Xenopus tropicalis: one gene and its partners. The protein of the gene in region 1 interacts with the protein of each later gene in a pairwise test. Links are inferred from orthologs where the notes say so. Each region holds a gene or a part of one and is shown in the gene's direction. Other genes may lie near its edges.

What was found.
Region 2: the proteins of nif3l1 (region 1) and cdkn2c interact in binary tests that used the Homo sapiens proteins (3 or more experiments, as listed by UniProt). The two-hybrid records come from large-scale screens. The link is inferred for Xenopus tropicalis from reciprocal best matches to the Homo sapiens genes NIF3L1 and CDKN2C.
Region 3: the proteins of nif3l1 (region 1) and dmc1 interact in binary tests that used the Homo sapiens proteins (3 or more experiments, as listed by UniProt). The two-hybrid records come from large-scale screens. The link is inferred for Xenopus tropicalis from reciprocal best matches to the Homo sapiens genes NIF3L1 and DMC1.
Region 4: the proteins of nif3l1 (region 1) and sat1 interact in binary tests that used the Homo sapiens proteins (3 or more experiments, as listed by UniProt). The two-hybrid records come from large-scale screens. The link is inferred for Xenopus tropicalis from reciprocal best matches to the Homo sapiens genes NIF3L1 and SAT1.

Annotation. Positions count from the first base shown.
Region 1 is NC_030685.2:7,985,442-7,990,477, reverse strand, and holds the start of nif3l1 (NIF3-like protein 1), read left to right. Parts: upstream 1-1,529; 5' UTR 1,530-1,629; exon of another isoform or gene 1,630-1,705; intron 1,706-1,718; exon of another isoform or gene 1,719-1,817; intron 1,818-4,550; 5' UTR 4,551-4,571; coding exon 4,572-5,001; intron 5,002-5,036. Other genes in the region: ppil3 (peptidyl-prolyl cis-trans isomerase-like 3), read right to left, coding at 1-82, 361-435, 517-519. UniProt on the Homo sapiens protein: May function as a transcriptional corepressor through its interaction with COPS2, negatively regulating the expression of genes involved in neuronal differentiation.
Region 2 is NC_030680.2:96,077,342-96,082,528, forward strand, and holds the start of cdkn2c (cyclin-dependent kinase 4 inhibitor C), read left to right. Parts: upstream 1-1,679; 5' UTR 1,680-2,111; coding exon 2,112-2,240; intron 2,241-5,187. UniProt on the Homo sapiens protein: Interacts strongly with CDK6, weakly with CDK4. Inhibits cell growth and proliferation with a correlated dependence on endogenous retinoblastoma protein RB.
Region 3 is NC_030680.2:120,485,516-120,490,507, forward strand, and holds the start of dmc1 (meiotic recombination protein DMC1/LIM15 homolog), read left to right. Parts: upstream 1-1,467; 5' UTR 1,468-1,549; intron 1,550-2,572; exon of another isoform or gene 2,573-2,981; intron 2,982-3,872; 5' UTR 3,873-3,896; coding exon 3,897-3,950; intron 3,951-4,947; coding exon 4,948-4,992. UniProt on the Homo sapiens protein: Participates in meiotic recombination, specifically in homologous strand assimilation, which is required for the resolution of meiotic double-strand breaks.
Region 4 is NC_030678.2:43,097,483-43,102,512, forward strand, and holds the start of sat1 (diamine acetyltransferase 1), read left to right. Parts: upstream 1-1,881; 5' UTR 1,882-2,044; coding exon 2,045-2,110; intron 2,111-2,711; coding exon 2,712-2,763; intron 2,764-2,982; coding exon 2,983-3,066; intron 3,067-4,142; coding exon 4,143-4,244; intron 4,245-5,030. UniProt on the Homo sapiens protein: Enzyme which catalyzes the acetylation of polyamines. Substrate specificity: norspermidine = spermidine >> spermine > N(1)-acetylspermine. This highly regulated enzyme allows a fine attenuation of the intracellular concentration of polyamines.

The DNA of each region.
Region 1 (5,036 bases):
CAGTCTGGACCATGAAGCCTTTGATGTTCCGGTGGAAGAGGCAGCCGGTGTAATAGTTACTGGCACAGAGAGCTAGAAAGTTCTACAGGGGACATAAAAAAGAAGCAATGTCATTGCACAGTTTAGGGCAGCGGTTCTCAGCCTGTGGGTCGGGACCCTTTTGGGGTAAAACGGCCCTTTCACAGGGGTCGCCTAAGGCCATTGGAAAACACATATTTCCGATGGGCTTAGGAATAATTTTATGGTTGGGGGTCACCACAACATGAGGAACTGTATTAAATGGTCATGGCATTAGGAAGGTTGAGAACCACTGGTTTAGGGGAGATGGGATCTAGGGGCTATATAAGCAAATCCTCTCACCTCACTGGCCTTCGGAGCTCTCTCACAAAACAGCTCAATTTTGATCTCCCCCAGATCCGTGTGAAGAGTCACAGACTGAGAGAGAGAAACAGAGCGTTACAGTCGGTCTCATTTTATAGAATAAGGGGGACATTAACCCCAGCCCTTGTATCTCACCATTCTGAGTCAGGTAAACCTCACACTGCTTGTTCTGATGGCGGCACAAGGATGGCGCTCACTGATCTGAAAGACAAAATATATAAGATTATCAGTAAGATGCTATCACATAAAGACAAGAGTTTAATACTTACATTTTTTGCACAAAAGCTAATTGTGGATATGGTTTCATATAGTTAAGCAATTTACACCCTATAGGTGGCAGGAAAGTATCAGAACTATAGTTTCTACATTTTTGGACTTCTTCTGCGCCAGTAATCTGGCAGCACATAGCAGGGACACATTTAAAGACAACCAACAAGCAAAAGGTTAGAATTGCTGTTTATCCCTGAGGAAATAGAGGCAGTCAGTGTGTACCAGGAAATACCTTCCCCCATAAAAGCTTTAGGGGATTAAAGCCAAATTCTCAAATCAAACCTGTCTAAAACTACAATAGGTGACATAGATTTGCACACTGTCCCCCACATATACAGCAACCAGGCTTTCCATTAGGAAAACACTGCCCCAGTGTATTGAAGCTTTGGTAAGAAACACACTAACCCAGTACAGACTAAACAGCATTACCTAACTGAAAACATATTATATTTCCCCATATAGACTATAGGAACCCACACTGAGTTGACTGATATCTTCCCTCCTTTTTTACCACAACTCACATTTCCCTCAGACGCTGGGTGTAGTAAGATGGCGACGATTCCACAGACCGAACGTATATACACTATTCATTGAACAAGGAGTAATAACATGGCAGCTTAACTCGCTTGTGTCATCAAAAGGCGGCACTTTCATTTTCTCCGTGGCGGCAAGATGACGTTCCTCACCGCTTCCCACGCCAAAGTGAAGTCATGTTATTTTTTGTGAGTACAAAGATGGCCGACGTCCTGAGCGTTAAATCATCATAGGACGAGACATCCGGTCTCTTGGGTGTAGCAAGATGGCCGACGTCCTGAGTGTTAAATGGTCCATAGGACGAAACATCCATTCTCTTGGGTGCAGCAAGATGGCCGACGTCCTGATTGTTAAATCGTCAAAGGACGAAACATCTGGTCTCTTGGGTGCAGTAAGATGGCCGCTGCCACGACACACGCTGAATGCATTTGAGTTTAACAGCAGGTCAGTGCCTGCAGTTATCAATATCTCCGCAGAGGTTTGCGGAGAGGGATAAGTAACGCTGGGAAGTCGGGCTGAGGTAATATAGGGGCGGTTCTTTAGTGGCGCTGAGTTTCTTCTATCCGCCAATTCACAGTGGTTCTCTGACCCTAAGATACAAGGTGCATAGTGCAAAGAATAGCAGCTTACAGGTATAGAACACATGCAAATAAATAAAATTGACTAATGTTACATAGTTACATAGGGTTGAAAAAAGACCAGTGTCCATCAAGTTCAACCCATCCAAGTAAACCCAGCACACCTAACCCACACCTACCAATCTATACACTCACATACATAAACTATAAATACAACCACTAGTACTAACTGTAGATATTAGTATCACAATAGCCTTGGATATTCTGATTGATCAAGAACTCATCCAGGCCCCTCTTAAAGGCATTAACAGAATCTGCCATTACCACATCACTAGGAAGGGCATTCCCCAACCTCACTGCCCTCACCGTGAGGAACTCCCTACGCTGCTTCAAATGGAAGCTCCTTTCCTCTAATCTAAAGGGGTGACCTCTGGTGCGTTGATTGTTTTTATGGGAAAAAAGAACATCCCCCAACTGCCTATAATCCCCTCTAATGTACTTGTACAGAGTAATCATGTCCCCTCGCAAGCGCCTCTTTTCCAGAGAAAACAACCCCAACCCTGACAGTCTAACCTCATAGTTTAACCCTTCCATCCCCTTTACCAGTTTAGTTGCAGTCTCTGCACTCTCTCCAGCTCATTAATATCCTTCTTAAGGACTGGAGCCCAAAACTGCACTGCATACTCAGGGTGAGGCCTTACCAGGGACCTATAAAGGGGCAAAATTATGTTCTCATCCCTTGAGTCAATGCCCTTTTTTATACAAGACAGCACTTTATTTGCTTTAGTAGCCACAGAATGACACTGCCTGGAATTAGACAACTTGTTATCTACAAAAAACCCCTAGATCCTTCTCCATTAAGGAAACCCCCAACACACTACCATTCAGTAGATAGTTTGCGTTTATATTATTTCTACCAAAGTGCATAACTTTGCACTTATCAACATTGAACCTCATTTTCCAGTTTGCTGCCCAGTTATCTAATTTTGTCAAATCGCTCTGCAAAGCGGCAGCATCCTGCATGGAACTTATAGTTTTGCACAATTTAGTGCATCAGCAAAAATAGAAACAGTACTGTCTATGCCCACCTCCAGGTCATTAATAAACAAGTTAAAAAGCAAAGGCCCAAGGACTGACCCCTGCGGTACCCACTAACCACACTGGTCCAATTAGAAAATGTTCCATTTACAACCACTCTTTGTACTCTATCCTTCAGCCAGTTCTCTATCCAATTACAAATATTATGTTCTAGGCCAATATTCCTTAATTTGATCATTAACCTTCTGTGAGGTACTGTATCAAACGCTTTAGCAAAGTCCAAGTAGATGACATCAACTGCCATTCCAGCATCAAGGTTCCTGCTCACCTCCTCATAAAAGGCGACTAAATTAGTCTGGCAAGATCTGTTACGCATAAAACCATGCTGGCACAAACTAATAGTATTGTGAACTGCAATGTATTCAAGTACCCTATCCCTTATTACCCCTTCCAAAAGTTTTCCTACTACTGATGTCAGACTAACAGGCCTATAGTTTTCAGGCTGAGAACGGTATCCCTTTTTAAATAACGGCACCACATTAGCAATCCGCCAGTCTCTTGGCACCATGCCAGACCTCAATGAATCCTGAAAAATTAAGTGAAGAGGCTTGGCAATCACAGCGCTCAGCTCATTTAATACCCTGGGATGAATCCCATCCGGCCCTGGACCTTTGTTTACCTTTACATGTTCAAGTCTCTTTTGAATTTCCTCCCGAGTGACCCATGCGTCAGTAGCTAAATTACTAGAACTGGGCATATTACAAGGGAAGCCTTCATTAGCTGGCTCCTCAGATGTATAGACAGATGAAAAATAAGAGTTCAAAATTTCAGCTTTTTCCCCATTCTCATCAACCAACTTACCCCCCCGTGATAATAAAGTTCCCACCCCTTCTTGCTTCATTTTTTTACTATTCACATAATTAAAAAATAATTTAGGATTCTTTTTACTCCTAGCTGCAATATCCCTTTCCATTTCTATTTTAGCTTGCTTGATAGCTTTTTTGCTGCTTTATTTGCTTCCTTGTACCTGATGAAAGTTTCTGCTGTCCCAGCTAACTTGAATGCCCTAAAAGCACGTTTTTTCTTACCAACCTCGACAATAACACTTTTATTCAGCCATAAAGGTTTTGCTTTGTTACTCAATTTTGTTCTTTATTACAATTTATCTTGGACAGTTTTTTTGCACCTTTGCAAATATAAAAAAAAAGTGCCTTTTGTGATTGTTGGTGAATACTCTTCCCATTGTTCTGCTGATCGGCTGCTGGGGGGGAGGGGGGGGATATCACTCCAACTTGCAGCGCAGCAGTAAAGTGTGCCTGAGTCTGAGCTTTCAGCCAGCGCTACACATTAGAACTGCTTTCAGCTAACCTATTGTTTCTCCTACTCCCATGTAACTGGAGGAGTCCCAAGCCGGACTTGGATTTCTTACTATTGAGTGCTATTCTGATACCTACTGGGAGCTGCTATCTTGCTCCCTTCCCATTGTTCTGCTGATCGGCTGCTGGGGGGGAGGGGAGGGGATATCACTCCAACTTGCAGCGCAGCAGTAAAGTGTGACTGAAGTTTATCAGCGCACAGGTCACGTGGCTGTGGCACCCTGGGAAATGAAGAATATGGCTAGGAGGATTCTGCTGGAGAAGCTCTATTAACTGACAGTATTCCTTAAACACTAACCACCCCCTACTATAGTCATTTCTGCCCTGTCTCTGTATGTCACAGCTTGATAACCAACTTTTCCTTTCCTCCCAGGTTCATTCCTGATTGTGCCGGATGTTGTTGGGTTTGGCCTTCAGACATTCGAATCATTTAGCCCATTGCAGTCGTTGGCACCCCGTCCGTAGCATCATGGATCTTGGCTCGGTGGTTTCCTGCCTGAATGTACTCACCCCCCCAGCTCTGGCAGAAGGTTGGGATAATGTGGGGCTTTTAGTGGAGCCCAGTCCCCCGCACCAGGTCCACAAGCTCCTCCTGACCAATGATCTGACAGAAGACGTGCTGGACGAGGCGATAGATACGGGCGCTAATATGATTCTGTCCTATCATCCGCCAGTATTCAAAGCCTTGAAGCGCATCACCCAGAAAAGCTGGAAGGAGAGGCTGGTGGTTAAAGCCCTGGAAAAGCGCCTAGCTGTATACTCTCCTCACACATCTTGTGATGCATTGGCCAACGGAGTTAATGATTGGCTAGCCAGGGCTCTGGGTGAGCAGTAATATCTCTCTAAATCTATACATAAA
Region 2 (5,187 bases), on another chromosome or scaffold:
CTGATTTGTAAAATATTTCATTCTTCACTAGTTTGTGGGGCTGCGCCATATCCTCTAGTGCAGTGCTATGCGGGGCTGTGCCGGTGTGCGGGGCTGTGCCGGTGTGCGGGGCTGTGCCGGTGTGCGGGGCTGGAGTGCTGCCCATTCGGAAACCAAGTCACTGACTGAGGCTGAACCTTTCTCCGATGCACTTTCTGGGGCGCCTGAGCTTGCCTGGGAGCCGATCTTTGGACTTGTACTTTGCGCTTTCTCCATGACAATTTTTATGAAGGCTTGACTGTGGGCAATTCAACTGAGGATCCCGAACTGCACACTCACTGGGAGAACCGTTAGGCCTAATCCGCTGTGCCGCCAGCGCTGGGTTCCGAACTCTTGTGCCCTAGCGAGCAGTCTGCTGGATTGTTATACATGTTCAGGTGACGCCACTTCCCATGATTCCGATTCTTCTGTATATTCAGTGGCACTGGGATGAGACATTGGGGTTCCTTTTCTCCAGCAGACATCGGGCGGCCGTGCCAAAGGCTACAGGGAGAAGGAGTCATGATGGAAGGGAACGCCGGTCTGAGCAGGCTGTCTGGTAGGGGCAGGGGCATGCTCTGCTGTACGAGAGGGAAGATGGGAAGGAGGGCTGCCGGAGAGAAGTGACACCGTGTGGTAGGAAAGGAAGACTGTTAGGACAGAAGCTTGCGAGGAGAGAAATGGGGTGCGAGTCCTGACCGAGGCTGCAGATCTGCAGGAGCAGTGAGAATATGTTGGGGGCCCTAAAGGAAGGAGTAAATCTGGGGGATAGGAAAAGTAAAGGTGCCCGACTAGAGCTGATGAATAGTGGGTGCAGTAGGTTGGTGCAGGGACTGAGGGGTGACAAGAGTAGACATGGGAGAAAGAACATATAAGACCGATGGTGAGACTAAAACTAGAAAAAGGACAGTGCTGCACTACACAAATCAGAAAGAGAATAGGAGGAAGCTGTGACATGGATACAGAGGAGGAAACTTTAGTAATGATGAAAGGATGGCGGGGTGAGAGAGGAGGCAAGTAGTGAGGAGAGTAGTGAGGTCTGTAGGGAGAGAGTAGCGAGTTCGGTAGAGAGAGCAAGCAAGCGGTGGTAGTGGGGAGAGGCTGGAAGGAAAAGGGTTGTAAGGCTGCAAGATAGAGGAGGGAAGCGCTGGGTAGTGGGGAAAGGCTGGCATGGAGAGTAGTGAGGCAGGGAGATTGGAGAGGCAGGAAGATAGAGGATAGAGCGGTGGGGAAAGGCTGGCATGGAGAGTAGTGAGGCAGGGAGATAGAGGAGGGAAGCGGTGGGGAAAGGCTGGCATGGAGAGTAGTGAGGCAGGAAGATAGCGGTGGGTAGTGGGGAAAGGCTGGCATGGAGAGTAGTGAGGCAGGAAGATAGCGGTGGGTAGTGGGGAAAGGCTGGCATGGAGAGTAGTGAGGCAGGGAGATAGAGGAGGGAAGCGGTGGGGAAAGGCTGGCATGGAGAGTAGTGAGGCAGGAAGATAGCGGTGGGTAGTGGGGAAAGGCTGGCATGGAGAGTAGTGAGGCAGGGAGATAGAGGAGGGAAGCGGTGGGGAAAGGCTGGCATGGAGAGTAGTGAGGCAGGGAGATAGAGGAGGGAAGCGGTGGGGAAAGGCTGGCATGGAGAGTAGTGAGGCAGGGAGATAGAGGAGGGAAGCGGTGGGGAAAGGCTGGCATGGAGAGTAGTAATGCAGGGAGATAGAGGAGGGAAGCGGTGGGGAAAGGCTGGCATGGAGAGTAGTGAGGCAGGGAGATAGAGGAGGGAAGCGGTGGGGAAAGGCTGGCATGGAGAGTAGTGAGGCAGGGAGATAGAGGAGGGAAGCGGTGGGCAGTGGGAAAAAGCTGGGAGAGAGAGAGGAGAGCGGAGGGAGGCAGGGGAGTGAGGCAGAGCGGAGAGACTGCTGCAGAGGTGGAAGCTGCAGGAGTATCTGCTCATCACGTGTGCTAGGGGCGGAGACCTGGCACTGACTTTTTTACGAGTATTTACTACGAGCTATCACCCTATTAGCTCAGATCCCCGGCTGTCAGCCTGTCCATGCCTTGCCCCAGTAACCCACTGCCCAGCCCCGTATCCCTATCCTGGACCCCAGTTGAGAATGGAAGATCCAATGGCGGACCTAATAACCACGGCTGCTGCCCGGGGGGAATTGGAGAGATTAGAAGACCTGCTGAAGGGGGCGCGAAATGTGGATGCACCCAACAGATTTGGGAGGACTGCTTTGCAGGTGAGTGCCAGCATGAACAGAGGGGCGTGATAATGACAGATAGGGCACAATCTCTATGTTACCCAGCCCTGTAAATCGCCCAGAGCTCCAATCATCTGTGCATTACAGGCCCAGATACAAAGGGTTAATTTTAGTCAGCCCGGAGTCCACCCGTATCTCACCTCTAGCCCAACTTATTGAAAAGCAGCTTTTAGATGGAGGAGGCAATAGGGCCTGTTAGCCAGCACCCAAGTGCAGCCCCCGGGTCGGTGTGCGCCCCAGCCCCTCTAAAGTTTCACACCTACCTGGCTGGCTGCAAACTTAGGGATGCTCCAGTACAGTGCTGCACTTAGCCTACATTTTGTGTACGGTGTCTGGAACATTCCAACATAAGCCGCTCAGTGTCGGAATGACGGGCTAATAAGCATGGCTCCCACAGACCCCCATACCGTAGCGTGCCTTAGGGCACATGGGCTGTGTGGGCTCAGACTGCTCGGGATGTTCATTAACACTTTGGTTGCCATAGAGGCTTCCACTCAGCAGTTTGTATTTGCCTTTTGAGCAAGGATATGCAGTTATTATTATTATTATTAACCCTTGTGGGAGATTCTGGGTGCTAAAGAGATGGTGGCTACACATGAGATGGCAGGCAGAGAGAGCATTAAGGTGCTATACCTGAGCTTATCTCAGAGAAAATATAAACTTACTCAATGATTAACCAAAAGCGCCTCTCATTTACTGCGTTATTCCAACTCACTGATAAAATATACTGTAACTTCCCCCTGCTATTAAATCACTTATCTCAGATTTAATGTGCCTGATGGAACGGTGCCTTTAATTCGCCAGACTGATAATGAGCTAAATCCGTAAGCTTTTTCTTTTTACCAGCCCCACTCTTTATACAAACAGCCCAAAGTATGGCTGGGTACGAATGGGTACCGAGCACCCAGATCTCCCAAACTCGTTGTTAAAAGTTATATTTCATTTAGTGTAGGCGAACTCAACACATTAAACAGCTTTATACACAAGTCAGTATCCATTCGTTACATGCCAAATGGCAACTGATGACTAATGATCTATTCATTTCCAATTATCCTCCGAATTAAAACTTAAATTGCATAAATAATATCCCCCATAGGTACTTGTAACATTCCGTCTTTCTAAAAGAGCTAGTGGGGAGAACCAGGGCAGAGTAGGGTTTGTTCTGAAACAGCATTTACAACACGGTTGATACATGTAATTAATCATTTCACCCCAAGTCCTTGCCGGTTCTCCTAGTGAAAGATGCCCTCGGAGCAGTTTGCCTTAGCGCAGGCCTCACCTCAGACAGTGCAGTATGTGAAGGTGGCACTGGCCTGTCTTATAAACACAGAGCCCCTGTGTGTGTGTCAGGCCCAGCACTGGAACAGTGTATGAAGTCGAGCAAGGCTGTAGCTTTGTGTTTGACCCCTACCCCAGGCTGTGTCCCCTCTCACTGTCCCTCTCGATGCAATCTAACCCAATCTAACCACAAATGGTTGTGAGCAGTCCCTTTCTGAGCAAGCAACCTGTCTGACAGACCCCAGATCAAAGTGTGTGTAATCTCGAGTAGAGCTTCATTTTACACAGAACGAAAATCATTCTTCATTTCTTAACTAGAGAATCACCACTGTGTGTGTTATTCTGTATTTTAGTCATCTGGATCGCTTGAAACGTTTAGCAAACAGGCAGATTTTTTCCAAATAATAATAACCGGTTTCCTTTCCTTTGGCTAAATAAATAATAGGCTTAAATATGAATGTATTCTTTTATCGAGGTTACAGTAAATGCATAGTTTAGCCCGATGATAATAACCTTGTGCTCTTATTGAATATTAAAGCTGACAGTTATAAGGTAGACGTAAACCTACTTATTTATAGCCCTGCCGTGTTGAGTAGTTTTAAACGAACTGTATGAACAATGGTATTTTTATGTATGTATATTTATATGTATCTATATGCTTCCATATAAAACTTTAGAAGCACCCCACTCCACTGCAATCAGTTGCTGCTCTGCCTAAAAACAACTGCGCTAAATCGTCCACAGTGTACAGATTTAAAGAGCAATTGTGCTGATATTTTCAGGTTTGCATTTTCCTAACAATTGTTAAATTACACATTTAAAATGATATTTCCTGAAGTCCTGAAAAAAAGAGTACGTTTACCGAACTGCCAGTGGCCTGTTTGATCGACAGCCTTGCCATGGTTTAATACGATTGGAAGCAGATTGCATTGTACAATGTAAAGTGCCTGTAGTCTTCTTGTATCTTTAATAATCCTTCCTAATCCCCTGTATATGCAGGCACACCCTGCTCTCATACTCTAGCCTGGGCACACATGTACTATAAGCGTATCAATATAGCTGTAGCCATATTTCTATCTGGAGTGATGCCATTTTATGCCACACTAAGGTTAATGGTACCTGCATTCATTAATTCTGATGAGAGTCAATTTGTTTTTATGTGATTGCCAGCAGTGTTGTCGTTTACATTTTATGACACTGTATCCAGCTGGTATTGTTTAAGGCCAATATGAAGGCCACTATAGTAACTATCCCATGTATGTATAATAAATATATGTGTGTGTGTGTAGCTGTATCTGTGTAGCTATATATTAATAATGTGTGTGTGTGTAGCTATCATATAGCTATATTCATATAGTCATATTTTTATGTGTATTTTTTCGTTATCTGTGTATGTACCTCGATAGACTCATACCTCTTTAACATATATCATAAAACTGTGTGTATGTATGTATGTATGTATGTGTGTGTATATATATATATATATATATATATATATACACACACACAGATATATTGTATTTTTAAAAAGAAAACTATGGGTATGTTTTTATTTCACCCCAAAAAATATTTTGCATAATGAAAGAAAACGTCATTCTAATCTGCTTACCAGTATATGTTAGTTAAAATTGTAACTATAATTGCTGTA
Region 3 (4,992 bases), on another chromosome or scaffold:
TATGTTTAGTGGAATATTTTAGGGCATATGTACTAGTACTTCCTCTCCCACAATGCACCTGCACCCACTTCCACAAAAAACATTAGCCACCTCAGGTATTATGCTGCCATGGAAAGCTGAACTTTATTGCAACGTGGTGAAAGAAAAGTTTTAATGTTGTCTGAACAGACATTTCTTAAATCTTATTTAAGGTATTAGGATCAGCTAGTAGAGCACAATATCCTTTGGCAACCCCTGAATTATTTGTTCCTGGAAATAAGGATTACATTTTAACCATTATCCAGAAACCCGTTATCTAAAAAGTTCCAAATTACAGGAAGACCATCTCCCATAGACTCCATTATAAGCAAATAATTCTAATTTTGAAATATGGTTTCCTTTTTCTCTATAATAATAAAACAGTACCTTGTATTTTATCTCAACTAATAATTGATCCTTACTGGAGATAATTGTATTTGGTTTAATTAATGCTTAAATGATTTTTTAGTAGACTTAGGGGCACATTTACTAACCCACGAATCCGAATTGGAAAAATTCCGATTGGAAAACGAAAATTTTGCGACTTTTTCGTATTTTTTCGTCGCCTTTACGACTTTTCGGAAATTGTCGTGACTTTTTCGTAACCATTACGACTTGTGCGAAAAAACGTGAGTTTTTCGTAGCCATTACGATTCGCTCGTAAAAAGTCGCGACTTTTAGCACAAGTTTTAACGCTACGAAAAAATCGCAACATTTTGCGCAACTTTTGGAATGGCTACGAAAAAGTCGCAACAATTTTCCGAAAAATCGCAAAATACTGATCATTACGAAAAAACCGCAATCGGACGCATTCGGCCCGTTCGTGGGGTAGTAAATGTGCCCCTTAAAGTATGGAGATCCAAATTACAGAAAGATTCCTTATCTGGAAAACCATGGGTCCCCAGCATTCTGGATAACAGGTCACATACCTATATTTTTAATGTCTGAAAAATCCTTCAAATAATTAAGTATGTTAAGTGCACAAAGTACCGTAGGTCCCCCTATAAATTAGTTTTGCATCTTCTCCTGAGGTGATATGCAGCTTCCCAGCAGTAACAAAGGCAAGATGCTGGGTACTGAAGTTCATAAACAGAAAAAAGCAGTGAACCTCTCATCAAACATCTAAAACTCACCATCCTAAACTAGCAAGTCCTGTGATGGCTGAAGTATTAGGTTGGTAAACTGTGCTTCCACTAGAGGGACTAGAGACAGGTCACATGACCCGGTTAATTTGCTGAAGTGATGCTTCTGTCTTTTTGGCGGGAAACTTATACTTGTAACCTCCTCAGTCAGGATCCGAGGCATGGGCATCCACAAATTGTCCTGAACTGATTCACTATTTCAAGTCTGCTGTCTGTAGGTATGTAGATACTGCTGTTTTGATCTCAGTGTAAGTCCCGGTACAGCTGAACACAGATTGGATAGGCTGGAAGGATTCACCCTGCAGCTTATCCAATCCCTGTAATGCTGTACCAGGACTTAAACTGAGTGGAAGACAAGCAATATCTGCAAACAGCAGGTTTGGAATAAGGTACTTGTGATTTGGTTCATTATCAGTGAAAGCTCCTGATTTGTAATCTTCTAATGTTTGTGTACTTGACTGAGTATGAGTGTCTGATGAAGCACAGCCCATGCACACTGACAGAACCTGCGCTCTATATATTTTCCTGTGTGTTGTGAGGTATAATCAGTAGAATTGGCACTGTATCTATCCAGCCATAGGTTCTAGGGCACCAGGTTTGCCAGGTATTCTGGACTATTTTACACAGAGCTAGCCTTATCTTTTTATGTTACCACATGGATACAATTTACATTGACATTGAATTGAAACTATTCTGAGGCATTATGTATTAGGCTGGCGCTACATTGTATGTGTTTCAATTAATTCCTGCACCATTTGACTGTGAAACAAACAGTATATAGTATATAGCTGTAATAAGCCCCACAAACCAAAAAATCACGCTTCACCTATGCCTGCACATCTACAAGAGCTCCCAGCACCACTACTGTGTAAGGAATCAAATGTCTCCTTCAAATGACACAGGATTTTTTTCTCCCTAATGCAGATGTATTACTTTTGATACTTTTACCTACTTGTCCCCTCCTGAAAGCTCAGCTGTTGTGTACATGTTTTTTTTTTATATCAAAACTATGCCATGTTTATATATTACATGGTATCCTATGGCCTATTATTTAATTGGCAACATTTATACTGATTGGTGTGATCTAACTTACCTATTGGATTTTTAGTCTAAAGGTCCCCATACACGGGCCGACTATAGCTGCCGATTCGACCGATACGACTGATATCTTGCCTGAAATTGGCCAGATCTCGATCGGCCAGGTTAGAAAATCCAGTCAGATCGGGGACCGCATCGGCTCGTTGATGCGGTCCCCAAACCGACTGCCCCATAACCACAAATGTAATCCAATTCGGATAATTTTTTTTTTAAGTTACTTGCTACCCGATATCGCCCACCCGTAGGTGGGGATATCGGGTGAAGATCCGCTCGCTTGGCGACATCGCCAAGCAAGCGGATCTGTGTATGGGCACCTTAAGTCGTTTTCCTGCAGAGAGAGATTATAAATACATTATGTAGAGTACATTAATAAATGGGAATAAATCAATTTTCCACTGGCAATTTCAAGCACTGGACATTTTATGCAAATGTTTTAAAATCATATGATTGATTATAGAGAAATTCAGGATTCTCAGGATATTCATTAAATATGTAAATGCTGGAGCACCCCTGTCAGGTAATTATTGCTTGGAAACATCAAGGTTCACCTGTCCATCAAGGTCCACCAAGGTGCAGGACAGAACCATATTAGTAAATGGGGCGTTGATTTCAACTGTTTAGCCTTCTGCCTCTAACCTGGCAAATCATTCATATTCTATTGCCCTCAGAATGCCCTGAGTGAGTTCCTGTGATCCTGTGTTTGGGGAGGGTCAGAATCTCCAGGTAATCATGTTTGGATGGGCTGAGTTATTAACATTTTAAGAAAATTAAATTGTGACATTTAGAAATAAATTAAAAATAAGACAGTGAAAGTGTGTTTTACAAGGGAGTCAAAGTCACATATAGCAACTTTTGCACCTGGGCCCATGCCCCATAGTTAAGCCACTGTATCTATGGCAACATAAAGCCAAGCAGATGTAAAAAAAAAAAAAAAAAAAAAGTACAGGTATAGGACCCATTATCCAGAATGCTCGGAACCAATGGTATTCTGGATATGGGTTTTTTCCGTAATTTGGATCTCCATACGTTAAGGCTATTAAAAAAATCAATAAAACATTAATTAAACCCAATATGATTGTTTTGCATCCAATAAGGATTCTTTATAGCTTAGTTGGGACCCGTTACAAGGTACTGTTTTATTACTAAAAAGAAAAAAGAAATCAGTTTCAAAATTCGGAAATAATTGATTAAAATGGAGTCTATGGGAGACGGGCTTTCCGTAATTCAGAGCTTTCTGGATAACGTGTTTCCGGATAAGGGATTCCATACCTGTACTATTTTTTGTTTACATTTTTTACATTCAGTAAGCTCCAGAAGTGTTTCAATAGGAAATCCAAGATACCAATATTTTGGATAAAAATCTATAGGAATTATTTATGTCCCAGATAGTATAGATGCATACATAGATGTGCATAGTTACACACATACACATTTCTACATGCATATGTGCTGTGAATGCCAGGAGAAGAACAGCATTACATCCATTTAGAGCTCATGTGTATGTACCTTACAAGAAGTTGCAAACTACATTAATAGTGCATTAATACTAGTTCATTACAATACTAAATTGTCTACTTCATACAGTGCTTTGCATGAAAAATGTTTTTTCTTTAGGTGGCAGAATCATTAACTGCTGTCATGAAATCAATGGAGGATCAGGTTGTTGAAGAAGACGTAGGATTTCATGATGAGGTACACAAAATAAGATGAATAAGTTAAATTATACAATCTAAAAGGACCAAAAAATATTTATTTTACTTTACATTCTAGTTTTCATATAGTGTACAAATCTTTCAACCAGTAGTCCTGTTATGGGACATTTACCACAAGTACCACAAGCAGTGTGAAGGCTTTTGGCATATGGGGCAAGTTTCAGAGGCATTTTCCTAGCAGCTAAAATTACCCCCTTAGGCTAAAGCCAGATGAGGCGTAGGGCAGATATTTTTTGCACCTGAATGAATGAGATACGCTCGGGTGCAGGCACATGTAGCCAATATACGCATGAAAACGCGAGATAATGCAAAGTCTTGCGTTTTTATGCGTATTTACGCTACTTGTGCCTGCACCCGAGCGTATCTCATTCATTCAGGTGCAGGCACAAGTAGGAGGCGTAGGGCAGAATTTTCAGCAATCGCTTTACCGCTTGCCGAAAATATCTGCCCTACGCCTTGTCTGGTATTAGCCTAAATTCCTCCTACTGATTTGAATGTAAAACACCTGAAAGCAGCAGTGCTAACTGAATCCGAATTTGCACGCAGTGAAATTTCCCCCCCACCTAACATTTAACCCTTTGAATGCTAATTAGCATATGCTAATTAGGTTTTGGATTCGGTTCCGCCAGGGCCATGGATTCAGCCGAAAGCGAACCGTGCCTAAAAAGGAATCCTGGATTCAGTGCATCTCTAATTATTATAGCCATAACTAACCTGCATACTCCTTGCTTTTCTTATAGTCATTTTTATGTGGCATATTTAAGAGATGGAACTGAAAATAATTTTGTATAGCATTGCTCTGGTTCAGAAAATATTGCTAATTATTCTGCATTACAGAAAAAAAAATTGCAGAACATTAAAATATTTTCTTATTTTAAATAGATAAAAAACATATGATAAAGATCAGAACATCAAAGAACATGAGATCAAATGGGCAAAGTCTGGTTCTAAATAGTTTGTCTTTATTTTTATTTCAGGAGTCATTTTTCCACGATATTGAGATGTTACAGAAGCAAGGAATT
Region 4 (5,030 bases), on another chromosome or scaffold:
ATGTCTTAAGGCCTGAAAAAGAATAAAAGTTGTATACAAATTGAAAACCCTTTGACGTCCACCATTGAAAGGAAAGAACAAAATTGTAATTTGCTATGTACACAGTGTAATTTAGTAATGACAAGTACATCATAAAAATTATGACAAAATCCCTTTAATTTAAAGGTGAACAATCCTTTAAGTAACTGTACTGCACACAAAAATCCCTATAGCAACCCCCAGTCTCCATGCCATATGCCTTGGCCCTTATTTGTATGGCGATTGAATAGAAACTTATGTATTGCACATACCATTACCTATTCTAATGGAAATAATGGAAATGACTTATTTTGTGTCCATGGCCCCCCTGAGGCTCTGGTGCAGATGCAGAGGTAGGTTGTGTAATACAGTTATGGGATCCCTTATCCGGAAACCCATTATCCAGAAAGCTCCGAATTACGGAAACCACATCTCCCATAGACTCAATTTTAATCAAATAATTCAGAATTTTAAAACTGATTTCCTTTTTCTCTGGAATAAGAAAACAGTACCTTGTACTTGATCCCAACTAAGATAGAAATAATCCTTATTGGGGGCAAAACAATCCTATTGGGTTTAATTAATGTTTTATTGATTTTAAGTAGACTTAAGGTATGGAGATCCAAATTAAGAAAAGACCCGTTATCCAGAATACCCTTGGTCAAGAGCAGGGCCGCCATCAGGGGGGTACAGGGGGTACAGCCGTCCCGGGCCCGGACGATTTTAACTTTAAAAGGGGGCCCGGCGCTGCTACAGTTTTCTTAGCTGGGGCCCCCTTTAATCTATTCCGGGCCCCTGTCATTGGTGGTCAGTACGCACGGGGAGCAACCTTATAAAAGGGCCTGGCGTCGTTCGGCACTCAGAAGTGCAGTGCTGTTGGGAACGAAGGACCTCGCCGGAGGAGCCGTCGCCGGAGCCGTCGCCGGAGGATTGTGCTGTGCTGGCTACCAATGTACTAGGGGGGTTTGCTGGCTACCAATGTACTAGGGGGGTTTGCTGGCTACCAATGTACTAGCGGGGTTTGCTGGCTACCAATGTATTAGGGGGGGGCCCTGCTGGCTACCAATGTACTAGGGGGGTTTGCTGGCTACCAATGTACTGGGGGGCACTGCTGGCTACCAATGTATTAGGGGGGCCCTGCTGGCTACCAATGTATTAGGGGGGTCCCTGCTGGCTACCAATGTATTAGGGGGGCCCTGCTGGCTACCAATGTACTAGGGGGGCCCTGCTGGCTACCAATGTACTAGGGGGACCCTGCTGGCTACCAATGTACTAGGGGGGGGCCTGCTGGCTACCAATGTACTAGGGGGGGCCCTGCTGGCTACCAATGTACTAGGGGGGCCCTGCTGGCTACCAATGTACTATGGGGGGCACTGCTGGCTACCAATATACTAGGGGGGCCCTGCTGGCTACCAATGTACTGGGGGGCCCTGCTGGCTACCAATGTACTAGGGGGGGGGGGCCTGCTGGCTACCAATGTCTCATATCTGTGAGTCCTTTGTATTTGTGGGAGGGGGGCCCAGAAATTTTTTTTGTGAGGGGCCCCGTGATTTCTGATGGCGGCCCTGGTCAAGAGTATTCTGGACAACGGGTCCTATACCTGTACTAATCTTTCCAAAAAGTACACCGAACATTGTGTTGTTGTAGTTTAACATAATGGCCACTAAGTGGCAGCTCCACTCTAAAAACCCTGCTAAACTTCTAGTGAGTCATTTCTGGGAATCATCACCTCATACGTAATGGGCCGTGGCCATTCAGCCCCGCTTATACAAGTGTAATTGTTTGGCGGAAGTGCGGAGAGGGCGGAGCTCCCTCCCATAATAAATACCCTGCTCTCGGTTCCGCGCTTGCACTTCGTCGTCGAAGTTTTCTTATCACGGTGGCTGCAGTGAGTGAGCTCTGCCGGGTCAGGGTCCCAGACTGACTAAGGAGAGGAAACTCCTGGGAAGCGAATGAAGAAACACCTCCTACTACTCTTCACATACAGAGGACTTGTCAGAAAAGGCAAAAAGAGCAAGAGAAGAAAATGGCCAAATTTATCATACGATCTGCTAATGCCGGGGACTGTAAAGATATCTTGCGACTCATAAAGGTGCATTGCTGTAACGTAGCTGCGATTTTACTTTGAGGTTTCGCTATTTTTCTCACCTGTAATGGAAGGTACTAAGTTCGACCAGGTGGTGTAACCCATAGTAACCAATCAGTTTGCTTTTAAACAGGTGAATCGTAAATGCATTGTGCTGATTGGCTGCTGTAGGTGACAAGATCTGTAGCAAACTGCCCTTTCACTCATTTTGAGTCAAGAGCTTTTGACCCTGGGTGTAGGGAACTACAAGAATTCCCTGAAAGCCTTTAGCATTCACTGTTGTACTTACATTTGTACAGTTCTCCTTTAAAGTTTCAAACTAGGACCTTTATATGTAACGGTCACTTGTGTGGCTTTCTGGCACTGCTGGGTTAGTTTGTCCCAACTTAACCTGTAACTTGGCTTGGGGGTTGTGGTTACCCACAAGGGAGGTAGGAGATGAGGGAATGGGATTTCAGTATGATGTTGGGAATATTCTGTTCTGCTTTTTAGTACCCCTTTGAGTGCTAATCTGCTACTGTAGGCAGTTGTAGAACTGTATTGCTGTACTGCTCCTGTTACACAATGTCCCCTTTTTACTCAATGATGTAATCTTCCTGTCTTATAGGAACTGGCAAAATATGAAGATATGGAGAACCAAGTAGTACTAACTGAGAAAGGTAAGTGGAATCGTAGAGGGTGTGTATCTCTGCCAAACTTGTCTCGGAAGCACAATTTCTTTTATCTAAACAATTGATATTTAGTTTGTGTTGCTCTGTGTCCTGGGCTGCCTGCCAAGCTGCTCCCATGAGCATTTGCTGCTAAGCACACATACATTGGGGAGTGCATTTTTTTGTCTCCTACTCACTCCTACACCATTTGATTTTTCTTCTGTACAGATCTGCTTGAAGATGGATTTGGAGAACATCCATTTTACCACTGTCTTGTTGCTGAAGTGCCTAAGGAGACCCAGAGTGCTGATGGTAATTTTTACTTTCCCTCTTGCCCCATTTCCCAGAATCTGAGGCATTTGTTTTGACCCTAATGTGCGCAGATGCAAACTTTGTTAAATCCTATTTTCTCTTTAATTTGTCCCAATCTTCAGGTTACAGTCTCTAGCTTCGCCATGTACATGGATGGCCCTTCCGTGTACATGGGTGGGCGGGGAGGTAACTAAAAGATCCGTTACACAATAAAGTAGATGATCATGAAACGAGGTAAGGCAAACGGGCAATCGCTGACACGTTAAAGCAGCAAACACGGTAGATCAGAAATCCATGCTCTGCTACTGAGTCTTCACGGAAGATTCTCCATTGTTCAATGGATTTTATTTTACCCCACTTTTTTTTTTTTTTTTTTTTCCCCCCACACCCCTCCCTGGAAACCTAAATCAAGCAATACGGACTTAAATTCTCCAACAGTGTCTTTCCAGTTAAGTTCTTGGCTGATTATGACCATTTCTAATACTAAACCTGATGTTTTTGGTAACTCCTGCCCTCCTTGTGCGATTGAACTGTTGTGATTTCTAGTACAGATTTATTTTTGTATTTTAGTATTGAGGAATCGGTGATCAGCATGATGGGTTGCCTGTATTGATTCCTTGTTTTCCATGTGCTACAAATTGGGGAAAACCATAGTGCTTGATCTGTTGCATCTCTGGTTCCCATTTGTACATCTGGGGGGGGGGGCTTTCATAATCTTCTGAACTGCCGTGTAAAAGGAATGTATTATGTTAATACAAGTGCTCCGCTATGCTGGTTAAAAGTAGAACATGCTATTTGCTCAAATGCAATGACAATGCTTTAGCAGCACTCAGACTGGAAAAATAACTTGCTTTCAAGGTTGTGATGTGAAGCAGTCAAGTACAACAACCTGTGGACGGCTAACAGTTGTACTCTAACTCTCCTCACCATTCTGGGAGTTCTAGTCAAACAACTGTGAAATATTCCTGACTTGTGGTTGTAATTACTTTTGTTTTTGTGTTTTTGTTTTTTTTCTCCTTGTACACGATTTTTTTTTTTTAATTTCAGGACTCATTTGATCTCTTCTTTGTTTATAGGATACACCATTGTTGGGTTTGCAATGTACTACTTCACCTATGACCCGTGGATTGGAAAATTGCTTTATCTTGAAGACTTCTTTGTGATGGATGAGTTCAGAGGTAGGTCATATGTATTAGGCCTCAGTGTGTGGATGGATTTTTAAAAATACATGTATGCACAAGGCCCTGGACGAACAGGTATGAGCTAAAAGTTCACATTTTTTTTTTTTTATACGTTAAATTCAAATGTTGTAAGTAGAGTATAAAATACATAAATGTAACATAATATCACTACAAATGTTGTAATGTTTGATATGAAAATAAAAACAAAGCTTAAAAAAAAAAATACATGTGAGTAGTGTTTCCATAATTTTAAATTGAAGGTCTAGCATATTGTGTGCGTACAAAGGCTCTTGTATATCGGCAGTTAACAAGTGGCTGTGCTGTGCCACCATCTTACCTGTGGTTCCCAGAGATCCCTCAATAGACATGGACTTGCACAGTATACTAACATTTTCCTAATTGTGCTTGGGGGTGCCTGGGAACTACATGTAAGATGTTGGCACTGCTTAAGAAACTTAGATTTAATTGATTTGTGGGAGATGTGCCTAATACTGAAACCCCTGGCGAATTCAGCTGTTCTGTAAAGTACAATGATGGAATCTATTATTTGGAATGCATAGGGCCTTGTGTGTGGTTGGTTGTGGTTTTTTTTTTTTTAACTAGAATTTCACATTAAAGTTTGTGCCCATTTGGAAACAAACCTTTTAGAAAGCATGTACAGAATAAACCTCTTTGTACTCATGTAAGGTTTGAGTCCAGATTCTGTATCCCTTCTAATGGATCATGGAAGGCATCTTCTACTTATATTTAAATGTAAAAAGATTGTTTGGCCACATATATATA